Caenorhabditis elegans: one gene and its partners. The protein of the gene in region 1 interacts with the protein of each later gene in a pairwise test. Each region holds a gene or a part of one and is shown in the gene's direction. Other genes may lie near its edges.

What was found.
Region 2: the proteins of gsp-2 (region 1) and knl-1 interact in a two-hybrid assay, tested with the Caenorhabditis elegans proteins (2 studies listed by BioGRID).
Region 3: the proteins of gsp-2 (region 1) and mel-28 interact in a two-hybrid assay, tested with the Caenorhabditis elegans proteins (one study listed by BioGRID).

The regions. Positions count from the first base shown.
Region 1 is NC_003281.10:7,334,712-7,339,369, forward strand, and holds gsp-2 (Serine/threonine-protein phosphatase PP1-beta), read left to right. Parts: upstream 1-1,875; 5' UTR 1,876-1,911; coding exon 1,912-1,963; intron 1,964-2,019; coding exon 2,020-2,151; intron 2,152-2,277; coding exon 2,278-2,508; intron 2,509-2,566; coding exon 2,567-2,781; intron 2,782-2,830; coding exon 2,831-2,944; intron 2,945-2,991; coding exon 2,992-3,126; intron 3,127-3,180; exon of another isoform or gene 3,181-3,291; intron 3,292-3,355; coding exon 3,356-3,478; 3' UTR 3,479-4,054; downstream 4,055-4,658. Other genes in the region: F56C9.10 (BCAS3 WD40 domain-containing protein), read right to left, coding at 287-406; kap-1 (Kinesin-associated protein), read left to right, coding at 4,290-4,359, 4,424-4,496. UniProt on the Caenorhabditis elegans protein: Serine/threonine-protein phosphatase essential for chromosomal dynamics during meiosis and mitosis. During meiosis, promotes chromosomal cohesion and germline immortality via a small RNA-mediated genome silencing pathway.
Region 2 is NC_003281.10:8,248,594-8,254,487, forward strand, and holds knl-1 (Outer kinetochore KNL1 complex subunit knl-1), read left to right. Parts: upstream 1-2,038; 5' UTR 2,039-2,042; coding exon 2,043-2,188; intron 2,189-2,235; coding exon 2,236-2,325; intron 2,326-2,377; coding exon 2,378-2,783; intron 2,784-2,828; coding exon 2,829-3,554; intron 3,555-3,598; coding exon 3,599-4,142; intron 4,143-4,186; coding exon 4,187-4,527; intron 4,528-4,570; coding exon 4,571-5,350; downstream 5,351-5,894. Other genes in the region: TM2 domain-containing protein C02F5.13, read left to right, coding at 1-60; C02F5.10 (uncharacterized protein), read right to left, coding at 140-169, 219-401, 449-543, 750-879; C02F5.2 (DUF5356 domain-containing protein), read left to right, coding at 1,044-1,098, 1,149-1,255, 1,299-1,389, 1,436-1,569. UniProt on the Caenorhabditis elegans protein: Acts as a component of the outer kinetochore KNL1 complex that serves as a docking point for spindle assembly checkpoint components and mediates microtubule-kinetochore interactions.
Region 3 is NC_003281.10:4,784,498-4,792,170, forward strand, and holds the start of mel-28 (Protein mel-28), read left to right. Parts: upstream 1-1,582; 5' UTR 1,583-1,583; coding exon 1,584-1,674; intron 1,675-1,718; coding exon 1,719-1,856; intron 1,857-1,914; coding exon 1,915-2,163; intron 2,164-2,209; coding exon 2,210-2,317; intron 2,318-2,361; coding exon 2,362-3,278; intron 3,279-3,326; coding exon 3,327-3,446; intron 3,447-3,489; coding exon 3,490-3,974; intron 3,975-4,027; coding exon 4,028-4,542; intron 4,543-4,592; coding exon 4,593-4,936; intron 4,937-4,986; coding exon 4,987-6,075; intron 6,076-6,130; coding exon 6,131-6,223; intron 6,224-6,273; coding exon 6,274-6,366; intron 6,367-6,411; coding exon 6,412-6,504; intron 6,505-6,550; coding exon 6,551-6,853; intron 6,854-6,900; coding exon 6,901-7,212; intron 7,213-7,288; coding exon 7,289-7,516; intron 7,517-7,561; coding exon 7,562-7,673. Other genes in the region: enu-3.2 (ENhancer of Uncoordination), read right to left, coding at 1-102, 217-564, 623-682. UniProt on the Caenorhabditis elegans protein: Nuclear envelope protein which has essential roles in assembly of nuclear pore complexes and in chromatin maintenance during the cell cycle. Appears to be a stable structural component of the nuclear envelope during interphase.

The DNA.
Region 1 (4,658 bases):
CAGTACTATTTAAAGGCTCACATTCAACAAAAACTTGTCGTGTCCAGACCCAGTACCGTTTTTTGGCACGAATTTTCGCGTCTGGGTAGTACTATAAGAAAAACATTCGTTAGCGTTCCGAATCTATTAAGATTTTATCTATCTTTGAAAATAATTGCATAGTTTCGATGTTTGCAGCGCTTTAGAAAACGGAAAAATCCGTTAAACGGTTTTTTAAAGGAGATTTTTTGAAATTCGATTTTTTTAACTTTTAGTTTTGAAAAATCATTATGAAGTAACACTTTACCGGCTGTTCCTCTTCTGGTAGCGGTTGTGGCTGTGTTTGTTGATGTTGCTGTTGAGGGCGTTGATGATTCTTCTTGTTCTTCTTTTTCGGGCCCCCAACAGAGTTCGCGTTTGGCGGCATCTTCTTCGAACTGTGCAGATTATCGATTTGTTCAGAAAATGTGGTGAAGAACAGAACACAAACAGGAACAGATAGGATAGAACGAATGAGAAGAGAGGACAACAAAAAAAAGAGAAAAAATAATCAATAGGAAGATGTGAGAAGATAAAACAACAGAGATTTTGTTTTTCTCAAACTTTCAGGTAGATCAACGATCTATGAGTGTCTGATCCGACAAAGGTGCATTGTTACCAGTGACAGAAAAGCGGCAGAAGAATCGAAATCATGCCCTTCTCTTTCTCTCTTTTCACTTCTCACGTGTGCTAGACATGACATGGGGAGAAAACGACAGAAACTGCAGTTGGTCACGAGGGACTAGAGGGAACAGGCGACGCAGAGAAATGGAGGGAGTTGTGAGGAGGATGGAGAAGAAGGCTTCCATGAGCACCACACTTCTCGCATCTTTTTTGCTGATTTTTCTCACTCCAACTATTTTTCTTTTTTCTTATTTCTTATTGAACTTGACTAGACATCAATCGATTTTTTTAAATGCTCACTGCTCATTTTCTAACTAATGCTTCAATATATTTTCTGAACGAATTCATGGATGCAGAAGTACCAAAGTGTTCATATATTTCTAGCTAAATAATATATAACTTTTGAGTACTATAATAATCTCATATTTCAAAATGATTCATAAGTAAAAGTTTTATCAAAATATGCTAAATAAACTTCTTATAACTACGTTTTCATCTATTAAACTTTCACTTAATAAGATTTAATGCATCTTGTTCCCCATGTTTTTGCATCTGATCATAATTGCTGACAAATCGTGAACGAAGAACAGTGTATTTGTTATATTTACACATTTCAATCTCTCACCACCAACCAATTTCTCTGCCATCTTGGTCGAAAACAAAGTGACGAATTGGCGCATCATTCGATTATATGTGCCCCGTTTTTGACAAATAGTGAAAATTTCAGGGAAAAGAGAAACTTTAAGCTTTATCTTCTAAATAATGGTAGAAATATTTTCCTCAATGTAAAATTCAACTTTCAAAGCCCTCTAACCAAGTTAATCCTTTTCGCGCGCTCTTTTTCAATTCAATACTAATGAAGTTCTGAAAATTTGAACGTCCCCTTTTTTTTAATTTTAACAAGAAGAAAAAATGTAGAAAAACAGATTCAAAATCATTAAATTAGCGGATAAATTCAGAAAAAATGAGAACATGTAAAAGCGCTCCACCGGCCACCGTACCCTGCTGAATGCGGCATTTTCGCGGCGAGACCCGCCACTCTTTTCATTCGTTTTGACCCTGTCGCCTCCAAATATCTTTCGATTTTTGACATGTTTGCTGCTGTTTTTATCAACTTTTCGAGTAATCACGCGATTTAAAGACGTAATTATCAAACTTTCTTTCTAAATTTTCCGTATTTTCACGTTTGTTGATTGACATTATCTCAAAGAGGTAATTCTATTCGTATTGCAGATCTAATTGGGTTGTTTGAGCGATTTCTCGCAACAAATGGACGTAGAAAAGCTTAATCTGGACAATATCATCTCCAGATTATTGGAAGGTATGTGTTTGTCATAGTGTTTATTGAAATTAATCTTAAAATGATTTCCGCTTCAGTCAGAGGATCCAAACCAGGGAAAAATGTTCAACTCACAGAGAGCGAGATCAAGGGGTTGTGCCAGAAGTCTCGTGAAATTTTTCTGAGCCAACCTATTCTTCTCGAGTTGGAAGCTCCGTTGAAAATTTGCGGTAAGTTCTATCGAAAAAAGTTGACGTTTCCTGCTATGAGTCATTTTACTTATTAGTATTTCCTTCCACAGGAAATTGCCGTTTTTATTTTTGATAATATATATTCTGAGAAAATATATTTTTCAGGTGACGTGCACGGACAATACTACGATCTTTTGAGACTGTTCGAGTATGGTGGATTCCCCCCAGAGTCGAACTACTTGTTCCTCGGCGATTATGTGGACCGAGGGAAACAATCGTTGGAAACTATCTGTCTCCTACTTGCATATAAAATCAAGTACCCGGAAAATTTCTTCCTGCTCCGAGGAAACCACGAGTGTGCCTCGATCAACAGAATTTATGGCTTCTATGACGAGTGTAAGAGTTTGATCTGAGATTATCTTAGTACAGATTTATTCAAATCTCATGTTTTTAGGCAAGCGGCGATACAACATCAAACTGTGGAAGACGTTCACCGATTGCTTTAACTGCCTGCCAGTTGCCGCCATCATCGACGAAAAGATCTTCTGCTGTCACGGAGGACTTTCTCCAGATCTTCAGTCTATGGAGCAAATTCGTCGTATCATGAGGCCGACAGACGTACCAGATCAAGGATTGTTGTGCGATCTGTTGTGGTCAGATCCTGATAAAGTTCGTTTGTGAACATAAAATTCAATGAATGATTACCATTTATTTTCAGGATGTCACTGGCTGGGGAGAAAACGACCGAGGCGTCTCTTTCACTTTCGGACCAGAAGTTGTTGCCAAATTCCTGCACAAGCACGATTTGGATTTGATTTGCAGAGCTCACCAGGTATTACTTAAGATTTTCTGCAAAGTTGCGAACCGAGAAATTTTCAGGTTGTGGAAGACGGTTACGAATTCTTCGCTAAGCGGCAGTTGGTTACATTGTTCAGCGCTCCTAATTATTGTGGAGAGTTTGATAACGCGGGATCGATGATGACTGTCGATGAAACACTGATGTGCTCTTTCCAGGTAAACATAGCGGTACCATCTATATAATTTTAAATACTGATAATGCGTATGCATTCACCAATGATGCAATGGTTAAATCAGACGAGTCTATTTTGGCTATCTATTCGAGTTCTTCGAAGAAATTGCCGCTAAGCGGGGTGAAATTGAGGCATTTGTCTGAGGTGATTTATTAAACGCTAAAACTACCTATCAAACATTAAAATAAAACAATTCGGAATATTTTTTTCAGATCTTGAAACCAGCAGACAAGAAGAAATATCCATATGGTGCTGGAGGAGTTGGTTCAAATAGACCAGTCACCCCACCACGAAACGCACCGGCTGCGCAACCAAAGAAGGGTGCCAAGAAGTAATCATCAGTCGATTTATCTATCATCTGTAAATACCTAACCTTTTCTTTGTTGTTCACGCCCCAAGAGGCCTCGGCCATCTCTCGTAAATCGGCTTCAAAAAGTTGTGTACATTAATTTTGATTTTAAACATAGTTTCGAAAAAGTTTAAATTCGATTCATTATGATCTAGGCTGGCACGAGAAGATGCTGTGGTCCCGGCGAATCTCCTCTCAATTCAAGCTTTCGTTGTCAACATCCCTTCCTCTTTATCTCTGTGGACCATTTAGAGCTAATGACTCCTCACCAATTGCTGGCTCAATTTTTCATCAAAACAATCCCCATTTTATTCGTTTTTAAATTCCAAATTTTAATTTTTTTTGCTAAACTTATCTCTTAAAACAGTATCAAATTTTACTTCTCTAAATGGTCTAAATATTTAAAACAAATGTTTATGATGTCAATCAATCTCCACTCCTTTCCTTCCTCCATTCATTCGTCCATCCCGTACTCTTCGTTTCTCAATTTTATATTGTTAAAACCCCCATTTGTCGATTTAATTCATTAAAGTTTTCCGAACAAATAAAATAGAACACTGGTACAAGCGTGTAAGCAATATTTCTTATTACAACGAGTGCAACGTCTCCAAGGAGAGCGTGCGAGACGAACAGACATCCCCCACGACTAGTGCTCCTCGAGCCGTCTCATCGATTTCTGTCGTTTGTCAGTTATTCAGAAATGCTCCGCCCCGGCTCTTCAGTAAGCTATAATAGGTAATCAGAATGAAGAGAAATATTTTTTGAGTTTTTTCGATTGATTTTCCGTGTTTAGCTCAATGAATCAAGTTTCAATAGATGCACACCCGTCAGATCAGGCAATTATTGTACGATTTGAACAATCTCCTAGTAAGTTTTATATTTTTATTTTCAATTGAATGTGTTACGAAGATTATTTGGAAGTTTGATTCAGGTTCTTCAGCAGGAATTTCAATAAAAAAGCGAGCTTCTTCAGCGAACGTTGAGTCTCTTGGCCATCAAAAAATGTAAGAATCTGATATAAAATATAAAATTAAACTGGAATGCAAATCTGCTTAACAAGAAAAATAAAATAAAATATTTTTAAGACCGTATGCCCACGAAGGTGCACGTATTCTTTCGGATGGGTCTCACCGCGAAAAATGTTTATGGTAACACTTTAAATTTTT
Region 2 (5,894 bases), 910 kb from region 1:
TTACTGGTACTTGGAGTACTCGGACCCGCGGATGACTCGAGTTGGGAGCCGTACTATTAAAAGAAATTAACTAATACGAGTGGAAAATTAATTGTTTATTGGTCAATATTTACAACCGATCTCATATTGTCAAATCCAATCATTGCGGCAATTGTGTGCTAACTGTCACCTGTAAAATTTGTAATTTCCTTTGTCATTTACTTTATAAAGAAAAATACCTTAATCTTCGAAAGATCACGTCCGTCAATTATCTCACTGAAAATACGACTCATCATTTGAGCCAGCTTATCTGGCCGTTCGTCAATGATTGGAATGACAGGAGGCATTGCTGCTCTGAACTTTTTGATTTTTTCAATGGTTTCTTTGGAACGATAAGGACCACTGAACACGGATACCTTGTTCTGAAATTGGATGATTAGAAGGATTTACTACAAATTTGAATATTTACTGGAGCATTTTTGACGTTCAGAAGTTCAGCTGAGAACGGTTCATCACTGGCATCCCACTCTCCTTCAGTGCATTCTGGCAGCTGTTCGCCCTTATCTGGAAATTAAACTTTGTATTGTCCAGATGCGAAAACTGTAAAATAGCTTGGAGTTGGGTTACTGTAGTCCTTAAAGCCATACGCCTGTTTTCTAACTAAAAACGCTGCCTAAAAATATTTCGGTCGTGTCGAGACCGGGCACCGTACTTCTCAGCGTAAACTAACAAAATTTCGCATCTGTGTAATATTGAAATTTCATCCTTACCATCATCAGTAATTTGAATCTTCGGCAACTGTCGAATAGATTGCTGAACACTTGGTGCTGGTAGTTCCTCTTCTTTTTCGTCTTTTTTATCTTCTTTCTTTTCTTCTTTGCTTGGTTGCTGCTCTGCCATTTTTTGCCTCTTGATTTTGATTTTATCGTTTTGAAGAATAAAATTATTTCCTTTTCAAAAGATGTTTTTTCTTAATTAAAAGATTTCGAAAAAAAAATGCAATACACGTAATTTTGAGTTTTCACTTATGGAAATGTATTTTACAAATCATTTTCAAATACAAGATGGACAACAAAAAGAAGGAAGAAAATCCTAGTAAATCTGATACTTCTATAAGCCGTGAGTAATATATATAACTTTTCGGTTTTTTTTTTAATAAAAAGTTTTAGTTCCACCAAGCTCAACTGGAGAAGCGCTTCAAAATTATACAGAATCGGAATGGAACGCATCAGATGATCCGTATTCTGCAGAACTTCTCAATGTGAAAAAGAAGCCGGTAATTTTTATTTTTACGTAGATTTTCATTAAAACTTTTCCAGAATCGAGTTAATGTGTTCTCAGCAACTGAGAAGAACATGGAAACTATAATTGTCACTGAAGAATCTCCACCACAAACTCCATTGCCTTTAAGTTGAGAAATCACAAAATTCTGGGAACTTAATTTGTATTGGTTTAGAGCCTGTCGTAGAACACCACAATTTGGCTCGATTGATTCAGAAATCATGTCAATTGCTCTTGGATAAAACTACACCAGATGGAACAGAAGTGCAAATAAAATTAGAATTCCCTGACTGGAGAGATACCGCCTGATTCTCTATGTGTTGAATAAAGCTTAACGGTTAAAAAAAAATTAATTGAAATCTGCCTGAAAAAATATCTAAATACAGTACTCACAAGAGAAACTACGGATTTTGAGAATTCGAATTTCGTAGAAAATATTTTTGCAATGTGTATCAGCTGTAATGGTACATATATTTATTTATTAATATTGAATTTTATCTAATTTTTGAAACAATTGGTTTTTTAAACTATTAAAATTGTATTATACTGCCCCAAGTTAAGGAATTACTCGTAGTGTGCGTTCTACGGAACCGGTGGTGTGTCGAGTGCAGCTTCGCTCCATTGTACAAGTTCAATTTCAAACAGAGATTTGCCGCCAAGCAAAACTGCCTTCGTTTACTTTTCACTTTTTTACTTTTCCCATTTAACGAAGTTTATGCTGCCGTTGTTTTGTTATTTTTTTAATCATAATTTATTACCATTTTTAAAACATATTTACAGCCATGTCGATGGAGCCTCGTAAGAAGCGGAACTCGATTCTCAAGGTGCGGCAAGCCGTCGAAACCATCGAGGAAACCGTCATGAACAGTGGGCCTAGTTCCACAACAACTAATCGACGAGTCAGCTTTCATAACGTGAAGCATGTCAAGTCAGTTAGAGTCAGTGAATAATTTATCAATAAAATAATTATTTCAGGCAGTATGACAGGGACCATGGTAAAATTCTTGACGCCACACCAGTTAAGGAGAAGATTACTGACACTATTGGATCAGATGGTATTTTGACGTGAGTTCCATCCTTTAACGTGAAATAATGAATACGTAAAAATCTTTTTAAGACCACGTGGCGGAAACATGGATATTTCCGAATCTCCGGCCTGCACGTCCTCATTTCAAGTGTTCGGCGGTGGTAATCTCGATAAAACTATGGATATGTCTCTCGAAACAACTATCAACGAGAACAACGAAACGGCGAGATTGTTTGAAACCACAAGAGATCCAACACTATTATACGAAAAGATCGTCGAAACCACAACAAAAGTTACCGAGCGAATTGTTAGTATGCCACTGGATGATACCTTAGCAATGTTCAATACAACGAATCAAGAAGATAAGGATATGTCAGTTGATCGTTCAGTTCTTTTCACGATTCCCAAAGTTCCGAAGCATAACGCTACAATGAATAGAACTATACCGATGGACCTCGATGAATCAAAAGCAGCGGGCGGCCAGTGCGATGAAACGGTATGTTGAATTAATAGAAGGAACCAAATTATCTTAATTTTACAGATGAATGTGTTCAATTTCACAAACTTGGAAGCCGCTGAAATGGATACGAGTAAATTAGATGAAAATAATACCATGAATGCTATCCGGATTCCGATTAATTCAAACGTCATGCCTGTAGACATGGACATCACTGAACATCACACTTTAATTGAAGAAAAGAAAAATGATACATTCGGGCCAAGTCAACTGATGGACATTTCGGCGCCACAAGTTCAAGTTAATGATACTTTGGCCATTTTCAACAGTCCGAGAGACATCTGTAATAAGGGTTTGGGTGTTCCTCAGAATCTAATAAATATCGCCTCGAACGTCGTACCTGTGGACATGGACATCACTGATCAGGCCGTATTAAACGCGGAGAAGAAAAATGATCAATTCGAGACAAGTCAGCTTATGGACATTTCTATTCCGAAAGTTCTAGTAAATGACACTATGGCGATGTTCAACAGCCCGAAACACGTCAGTAAGAGCAGCATGGATCTCGAGAAAACGATTGAAGCCGCTGACAAATCAACGAAATACCCGAGTATCGCAGATGAGGTGGAAGATTTAGACATGGATATGGATATCACTGAACAACAACCATGTGAGGCTGGTAATCAGCAGAACGACGGCTTGCAACTTCAAAAGGAGGATTTAATGGACATTTCGGTGATTCGAGATTCACCTGCAGTAAACGACACCATGGCTGTGTTCCAGAGTCCTGCCAGAGTAAAGATCGGAGCGGTAAGTTTTAAGCACACTTTCCAATAAAAATGTATTTCTTTCAGAACAACTCGATCATTGATTCGCAGAAATCTATCGTGTTCGGTGACGAAATGAGCATTGACGAGACACAAAATGATGGAACCTTGACGTTGCCAAAGTCGAATGTAGAAGTGACTACAACTAATGATGTCTACACGTCTCTCGAGCGGCAAGAGGAAAATGCTTCAGAAAACGTATCCATGATAAACGAATCTTCTGTTCATTCGGAAATCGACAAAAAGTCGTTTATGCTCATCGAAGAAGAAAGGGCTTTTATGCACTCCTCCATGATTGATGTAGCACAAAAGTTGGAAGACGATGGTTCGTCGAAGACGCCAGTCATCCTTGCTTCACAGTCAGCTTCTCTTGCCACTAAAGAACCATCAGCCCTTCACAACTCGAGTGCAACTCTCAACAATTCGATGGAATTGGACAACAATACTCTTCTTAAAACTATGCAAATTACAACGTGTGAAGACATTAGCATGGTCCATGAGTCTATTGCTGTTGAACTGAACAGTAACAAAGAGCAGGAGCAATTCGGAGATGAGACTTTGCAGAAAAATGGTAAATTTCGTTTATTCAATAACTCTATTAAAAGTATGTTTTAGATACCTCGAATACTGGCGCGAATTTCACATTCCAAGGCCATAATGAAACATCGCAAATCATGAACAATGTCGACTCGGAAGCAGTGAACACGTCCAAGATTTCAACATATTCGGCTTTCAATTTGAGCATCAACCAGTCTATCTCTAAACGACGTCGATCTCTTCTGAATTCTGCTCGTGAATCTCCTCGTCGTGTTGCGTTGGAGAATTCTATAATGTCGATGAATGGGCAAACAATGGAAGCTCTGACAGAATATCGACAGAATAAAACTATGCAGACGAGTCAAGATTCGATGCCGAGTATGAGTTTGAACGATTCGGGAAGAGATATTCTCGCGATGGTAAGAATATCTCTTTGAGTATTGAATCGAAAATGTCTTTCAGAATACATCAGTCCGCTCTCCTCATCTGAATTCTTCAAAAACTGCTGCCCCAGGAACACCATCATTGATGTCACAAAATGTACAACTTCCACCTCCATCTCCTCAATTCGAAATGCCAGACTTCGATCCAGCTGTGGTCAACGTTGTATATTTAACATCTGAAGATCCGTCCACTGAACAACATCCAGAAGCTCTCAAATTTCAGCGTATTGTTGAAAACGAGAAAATGAAAGTACAACACGAGATTGATTCTCTGAATTCAACCAATCAACTTTCTGCTGAGAAAATTGATATGTTGAAGACTAAGGAGCTCTTGAAGTTTAGTCATGATGAGCGAGAAGCGATTATGATTGCAAGAAAAGACGCGGAAATCAAGTTTTTGGAGCTTCGTCTGAAATTTGCACTCGAGAAAAAAATTGAAAGTGACCAGGAAATTGCTGAACTAGAACAAGGAAATTCGAAAATGGCTGAGCAGCTAAGAGGTCTCGATAAGATGGCTGTCGTTCAAAAAGAACTAGAAAAGCTGAGAAGTCTTCCTCCATCACGCGAAGAGAGCGGGAAAATCCGAAAGGAGTGGATGGAGATGAAGCAATGGGAATTCGACCAGAAAATGAAAGCACTCCGAAATGTACGCTCAAACATGATTGCACTTCGTTCAGAGAAAAATGCTCTCGAAATGAAAGTCGCGGAAGAACACGAGAAGTTTGCCCAGAGGAACGATTTGAAGAAAAGTCGAATGCTGGTGTTCTCTAAGGCTGTTAAGAAAATTGTGAACTTCTAGTGAGTTTAATATCGAAAAATTAACAGTCAAAAATTATAATTTTAGATGCCGCCTTCACCCTTCCCTTGCATCAGGCCTACAATACTTCTGATGCTCATATAATTCTTTACCTAATGTGCCATATATTTTAGTTTTTTTTTCATCTAAAAATACCCATTGTGCATCAACCGCACTTGCTGTATTTCCTTCAAGATGTTTACCTTTTCCCCTATACATTTATGCCTCAGAGCAATCACAAAGTTATGTTTTTATTCCTAGTTCATTCTCAATCAATCTAAAGGAGACTTATGGTTTGAATAGTCAAATGAATAAATATTCCTTGTAACCAAATTTTTTTGTAGCCGTGTTTTTTTTTGTAAAATGAAGTTATTGTGCGTTTAAAAATCGGAGTTTAAAAAATCGGAGCTTCAGTCTCCTCTCTTAAAAATAATTTTAGCTTACTATTTACTACTGTAGTTCCAAATAGAATATACATAATAAGGCGGGTAGGCAAGAGTTTGACACCTCGGGAGGTACATAGGTACGTAGGTGAGCAGTAAGTATA
Region 3 (7,673 bases), 2.6 Mb from region 1:
GCGTTCCTTCTCCTCATCCTCGTGCTGCTGATCGTCTTGTTCTTCTCGCTTCCTAGCCGCCATCTGCTCAGCGATGAGCTCCTCAAAATATTTCTTCTGCTCCTGAAAAGAAGGTTTCGTATGTTGAAAGTTGTCCACGTGTAGTACGCAATTCGCTTTTCATTAAATATAACTTAAATCAATAAAAAGCTAGGCCACTGGCAAAATTTCACTTACCCTCGCCTTCTGATCCTCGAGGTAGAAATACAAAAAAATGTGGAAAATGACGAAGGCGATCAGGATGCCATATCCGATGTACTTCGGCGTGTCCTTGTGAACATTGATCGTGTATGCACATGACGGGCAGTGTGTGCCGTTTCCATTTTTGCAGGTTTGAGGGCTCGCCGAGCTCACAAGAGCAAGCTGCGTCGTATTGGCGGCAGGAGCGGTCACGTTTACATTTTTCGTCGGATTGCCGGCAGGAGCGGTCGCATTAGGACTTTTTGCCGAATTGCCGGCAGGAGCGGTCACGTTTGAAGTGTTCGTAGCGGCGGAAACAGGCACATTTGGTGTGGTGGTTGTTGGCTGAAAAATGGTGAAACATTATGGTCTAGAAAAATCGAAGGATGTCTAGGCAACTCACCAATACATGAACTATTAATCCGAAGATTACCAATGAAAACAAAATACGCAAAATACGCATTTTTGAGTGACGCGTGTGTCGGAGAGAAACCGATTTCACAAACTAATTTAAGTTATAATTTGTTTATTTCAATCGCTACGTGTGCCGTGTGCCACGTGGCCACGCGTGAGTAGGGGCGGGGCCTATTTCGCAACCACCGCACACTTTTTTCGCAAGCCTCGCACGTTTTTCCATGATATTGTTGCATTTTTCAAAAGAAAAAACGTGCGAGGCTTGCGAAAAAAGTGTGCGGTGGCTGCGAATAGGTCCCGCCCCTGCATCCTGTTTTGGGTTCCTTTTTGTTTGTTTTTTTTTCGCGGATGGTTAATTTTGTTTTCGAAGAATTTCTCGTAAAAAGTTCCTTTACAATTAGTCAAATTTTATTCACTCAATAAACAAGGTTTTTCTTCAAAAAATACAAGGTTTCGCGATGCGCCTATCATTTTATCATTTCTTGAGTAAAACAGTCTTTACGCTCGTTGCTCCAAAAAATGTATGTTTCTTAAGGGTTTCCATTAATTTTTTAGAAGTCATTTGAAAATGCTAAAAAGTTGGTTTACGTCATTTTAAGTATGTGCTTCTCTTAAGATAATGATGTAATATGGATTATATTCCAATTTAAATCATTCAAATTGATTTTTTTCATTTAAGAATTCCATTCAATTTCTACATTCTTCGTTGCGTCTTCTAACCTTTGCAAGCATTTTCCATTTTCGCTTGTTTTCGCAGTCCGTATGTTTCCGTTGCGGTGTTTGCGTATTGGTGAAAACAAATTTTCCCGGTCGTTTGAATGTAGTCGGACGAGCCCTTATTTTAAGCTACGCACTTCTAAAACCACTTATTTTAATTGATAATTTCTTTGTCTCACTTCTTTAAATGTTATTTATTAGCTGCGATGTGCAAAGGTTTATTTTTTTTCAGAATGGATAATGAAAATTCGTCCATTTTCAAATCATATCAAGGATACGAGTGTTGGAGGGGAGAAAAGCAAATTATTTTGAAGGATTCAATTGGTATTTCATATTTCTATCGATTCAACATTATTCTATTCATTCAGGTCGTCAACTTCCCTACATTGTGAATTTTAAAAAGAATACGTGTCAAATATTCGATATCGAATGGGAACGCGTAACTCACTCGTTCGTTTTCCCTGAAGGATGTGCTTTGATCGATGCGGACTATTTTCCAACAGAAGGTAAGTTTTTTATTACTATCATATTTTCTTTATTGATTTCAAAATATTTTATTTACAGAAGGAAAGCTCGGAATTCTTGTTGGTGTTGAAGATCCTCGTCAGTCGTGCGGTGCCGAGCACTTTGTTCTTGCATTGGCAGTTGATCCGGATTCACCAGCCATGACAATCACACACTCACTGGAAGTTCCATCGAAAATTACAGTTGTGAAGACGCTTTTTTCGTCTGCCGACATGGCTGATGAAACACAGAGAACAGTTTTAAAGCTCTATCATCGACTGATGACGTGGCAGCATATTGTGGCAATTGGTAATAAATCAAATTTGAATGAAAACTTTGCAAATTTACATTCCAGGTTGCAAGGAGACACAATGCTACTTAGCTCGTTTAGTTGCTGTTGAGACGCCGTCAAGTCCTGTCATCACAGTTCACAGTGAGAAAAAGTATTTGATCAACCTAATGAGTAAGTTTCCCGAAGATTAAACAAATTTGATTAGTGTGTTTCAGATGCTTACGTCAGCGGTTCAGTTCTTCAGTACACTTTGGACGATGGAGCATATCGTGAATACCCAACCGCCGCCGTGTATATCTCAGCGTTATCGTTGATGCCAAGAAGTCGAACTCTTCTTGTCGGTTTATCGATGGGAGGCATTCTGGCAGCTTCATTGAATCCTTCAAATCAGATGATGCTTTTGGAATTGAGACACGAACGACTTGTCAGAAAAATTGCTCCATTAGAACCAGAAGATGATCCCGACAAATTTGAGTATTTCATCGCCACTGTTGATTGTTCACCTCGTCATCCAATCATGATTCAACTTTGGCGTGGATCTTTCAAAACTCTCGAGGATGTTGATGGAGAAGAAAAGTACGACCGTCCATCATTCAGTGTTTGTCTAGAACATAAGATTTTGTTCGGAGAAAGATGGTTGGCTGTGAATCCTATTGTTACTGAAAGAGATCATATGATGCTCACAAGAAAGCGAGGAACGGAAGATTCGATGCACAATGTTTCTCAGACATTCGGATCAACTTCTAATCGAAACTCTGTTCTTTTGGCATACGAACGAAAGAAGATGGTGATCGGCACAGAAGACCCGAATGCTGAACCAGAATACATTGTGGAAGCAGCTATTTTTGATATAGATTCATGGTACTACAAAAGAGTTCCCGGTCGAGTATCTACAGATGGAACTGTTCTCAAGCAATGTGCATTCTTATCAACTATAAAGTCTAACATCCGATCAGAAGATGTAAATGACATCGGAATTCTTACAAATGAGGCCACTGATGTATCCAGCTTCTCTAGCATGGTTTCAGACGCAGATCAACTGTTTTATCCGTCAGCATTAAGCTTCGAAAGGGTTTTTGTTGCCAAGAATACCAGAATTGACTGGATGAAGATCCAGAACATCCAGGACACGGTAAATTTATCGGCATTGAGATTGTTTTTATTCCGGTTTTTTTTTCAGATTTTGAACAAATGCGCCGTCAAACTGCCTGCTCTCATCAGGAATCCCGAAATGATTTCCAGCGTTGTTATGGCAGCTGGTTTAGTGAGAAAAAATATTCTGTCTGGATCTCCCAATTCGGTGAGCTTATTTTTTAAAGTTAAATTGATGAAATTGTTTTCAGAGCGCCGCAGAAATAAACGAACTTCAATTATCGTCTGATCAAAAGGTTCTTCTCAACGTTATCGTCTACTACGGAAAAATTGAAGAGTTTTGTCAATTGGCATCTCGTCCTGACATTAGTGACACGCTAAAACGGGAATTAGCAGAATGGGCACTTCACGAAGCTGTTGACTACAAGAGAACTATTTCTGACAAGATGGTTTCACTCTTCCAGGGAAGATCACTTGCTCTCTCTCCACTAGCAGAAGAATCTATTGCACAGGGAATCAAGCTTTTCCGAGTTGTTTACGAATATCTGAAAGCCTGTTCAAAAGCGTTAAAAGATGATCGACTTCGCAATTTGGCCCATTCTGTGATATGTATGAGAAACCATACGAAACTTACCAGCCAATTCATCAATTTTGCCATCATTCCTGTAGACCCGATCAGACAGCAAAGAATGAAGGATTTACATTCAAAGAGAAAAAATATGGCGAGAAAGAACTCGTGAGTTTAGAAAAATCCTTTTTAAGAAAAAGTTATACGATTAAATTATTCAGATCATCTCTACCCGTTCAATCAGTCGTTCGAAAAATGAATCGTCAAGCTCCAAATGCTCAATTCTGGAACGATATTCCACATGACGAATGGTATCCGCCAACACCTCTCGATTTGCTGGAATGCCTGCTGAATGTTTCGATTTCTGAGAGTATTAAACGAGAACTCGTTGTCCAATATGTCATTGATTGGATTTCCACATCTCCTGAAGATTCTGAACACAGCGAAAAACAATTGGCACTTGAAACTATCAAAATCATGACAAATCAAATGCTTAACGTTAACTTGGAGAAAATTTATTACATTCTGGACCAAGGAAAGAAGGCTTTAACAAGCAGCAAGACATCGGATGATATGAGAGCACTTGGAGAGAAAGTATTCTCAATGAAAGATGACGAGATTAGTTATGAGAAATTGTGGGGAAAAGATGCTCCGATGACAGTGACAATCGGAAAACACGATTTACAGCGATTTGAACAACGAATGAAAATGCAAATGGAAGGTGGAAAAGTTAGATGTGAGATAGATTTTCAGTCTCATTTCCAATTAATTTTTTTTAATTTCCAGTGCCAGTTCTCGATCCGGAATCTGAGATTCTCTACCAAATGTTTCTCTTTGAAAACGAAAAGTTTGAAGCAATGTCATCAGAAGCGATTAGTTCCAACAAATTGCTATCGGCTTTCCTGCCAGGAATGATCAAGAAGGATGGAAGAGGTCGTCAGAAGACTGCGAAAGAACAGGAAATCGAAATTTCAGTTAAGAAAATGTTTGAGAGAAAGGTGCAAAACGACGACGAAGATATGCCTGAAGTTTTCGCTTCTGTCAATGACAAAACAGAAAGAAAGCGGAAATCAAGTCAGTTTGGTGAAGACGATGAGAGTAGTGTTTCGTCATCACAATATGTGCCACCTGTAAGATTATTGCAGTTAAATAGTACAAACCAAGATTCTGAAATTTACAGACCGCGAAGAGAATTCAACAGTGGAAGAGTGCCGTCGAATCTGTTGCCAACAATTCGAGTATCAACAGTATCACAAGTCCGGATTCTCACCAAAATGCAGAAATCAATATGATGATTGCAACACCGGCACGGTATTACAAGCGACATAATGAGGAGGAAAATGTTCAAGATGGATTTCTATCGCCCGCTGGAAACAGACCGCCGCCAGTCTCTGCTCACAACAGTATTCTGAAAACAGCTAAAGGTGGCCAATCGGCTAGTCGAGGCCGTATCCGATTCCGTGCTGACGTTCCAAGAGGTGCTGACGAGAGTATTGAAGACAATGGTCGGAAAGGCCTTGCATTGAACTTTGCAATTCTTGAAGATGAAGAAGAGGAAACCATGACTATTAGAAAATCACGGTCTATGGGAAAACATGACGAGGAGAAGGATTCAGAGAAAAATGTAGTGGATGAGATGGAAGAAGTAAAAGATCAAGAACAAGAAAACGATGAATGCATTGAAAGTGAGAAAACTTTCGAAAACCAAGACGATTTCGAGGTTCTCGAAGATACATCTGCTCCAGAAGCTGCAAATACAGAAAATGGTTCGGAAACTCCTCCCATGGAAGATACGTTTGAAGTACGAGATGATGACGTCATGCCACCAACCGATGAGACATATTTGAGTCATTTACAAACCGATAAAACGGGTATTCTTGAGGAGGAAGGTGAAGATGAAGATATATGGGATGGAGTTCAAAGATCTTTCGAGGTTCAAATGGATGAGGATTGTGAAGCTGTACCAACGATTGATGTAGCCGATGATTTGGAGAGTAAATCTGAAGAAGTGAATGAAGAAGAGGTAGTTGAATCTGAAGAAGTTCAGCAAGATGCGAAAGAACCTGAAAAAACTGAAAAACGACAGGAAGAGCCAGAACCTGAAGTTATGCAGCCAGTGATTCCGGAAGAGCCTCAAAACGAATCTCTCGAATCGTCTATTAAACTGCAGGAAGAGTTACAGGAAGAGCCTGACATAGTTCCGACAGGTGATGAAGATACCGCGGATAAAGTTCAAGAACAAGCTGTTGAGGAAGATAGACCACCATCTGTAAGATACCATAAAATAAAATTTGAGGAAAAACGGCAATAATTGTATATTTCAGAGAAACACTCGCTCATCATCTGTCCAGAAGTCTACTTCACAAGTGGAAGACCGGGATCCGAAAGAACTTGTCGAGGAAGAAAGACCTCCATCTGTCAGTTTCGTCATCAATTTGACAGACAGAAATAAAATTTATGTTTTCAGAGAAACACTCGTTCTGCGTCTGTTCAAAAATCATCTAACCAAGAGAAAACTTCGGAATCAGGAGAAGTCACGGAAGAAGATAGACCACCATCCGTGAGTTGTTTTTAAAATTTGAAATTTATATGTGTATTTTTCTAGAGAAATACGCGGTCGGCATCTGTTCAAAAATCTTCATCAAAGGTAAAAGACCAGAAGCCAGAGGAACTCATCGAGGAAGATAGACCTCCATCAGTAAGTCTCTCGTGATTTCTTTAAAAATTTAGTTCAATATTTCCAGAGAAATACTCGATCCGCATCAGCCCAGAAGACAGTGGCAGCAAATAAATCTGTTTTGGAGTCTGAAATTCCAAGTCGTTCAGCGTCACGAAGAACTCGCTCCACATCGCTTAGGAATGATACTGTTGCCGAACCAGATGAGACGTCGGTTGCGATGACAACTCGGCGTCGGACTCGGGCAACTTCTGAGGTTGTTAGCAAGCAGTCGTCTGAAGATGATGGAAGATCGACACCAAAAACCGGAAGAACTCCCACGAAAAAGGCTGCAGCTAGTACATCTTCTAGTAGAGCTGGAAGTGTAACTGTACGTTGTTTAATCGTTTAATCATACAACTATTCGAACATTTTCAGCGCGGTAAAAAATCGATCATCCAAAAGATGCCATCCCCGCTAGAGGTTACAATGGAAGTTCAAGAAGAAGAAGAAGAAGAAGCGGAGGAGGAACGGCCTGCATCAAGAAGCACTCGCTCTGCATCTGTCAAAAATACAACTGTTGACCCATCGTCATCTGCACTTGCTTCTACCAAACGTACAACTTCTAGAAAGAGGGGCAATTCGGAAACGATCGACTTTAATCAGGACGACAAATCGGCACCGACGACGCCAAAAAGAGGAAGACCCGCCAAAAAGGATGCAGGATCTCCTAAAGTTGGAAGTAAAGCTGTAAGCATTTTTAATTATTTTTTTGAATTAAAAATGTTGTATTCATAAATTGTAAATTGATTTGTTTTCGTTTCAGCGTGGCACCAAGCCTAAATCGATATTCGAAAATCAAGAAGATGAAGAAGATCGTTCATCCTCTCCAGATATCGAACAACCAGCCACACCTACACGGTCTTCCAAACGAACGGCTAGATCCAGAGCAAATTCCGAATCGATCGATGATGATAGCAAGCAGAAGACCCCAAAAAAGAAAAATGCCGCGGTTAATGAAGCTGGTACCAGTAAACAGTCTAGAAGTGTGACGGTATGATCCCAAAACATAATTTTTTTTCAAAATTATTATTTTCAGAGATCTCGAGCATCATCTATTGATGTACAACAAGAGGTGGAAGAGCCAACCACTCCAAAACGCGGAAGAGGAAGACCGCCCAAAACCGTTCTGGAAAATATTGAAGAGGGTG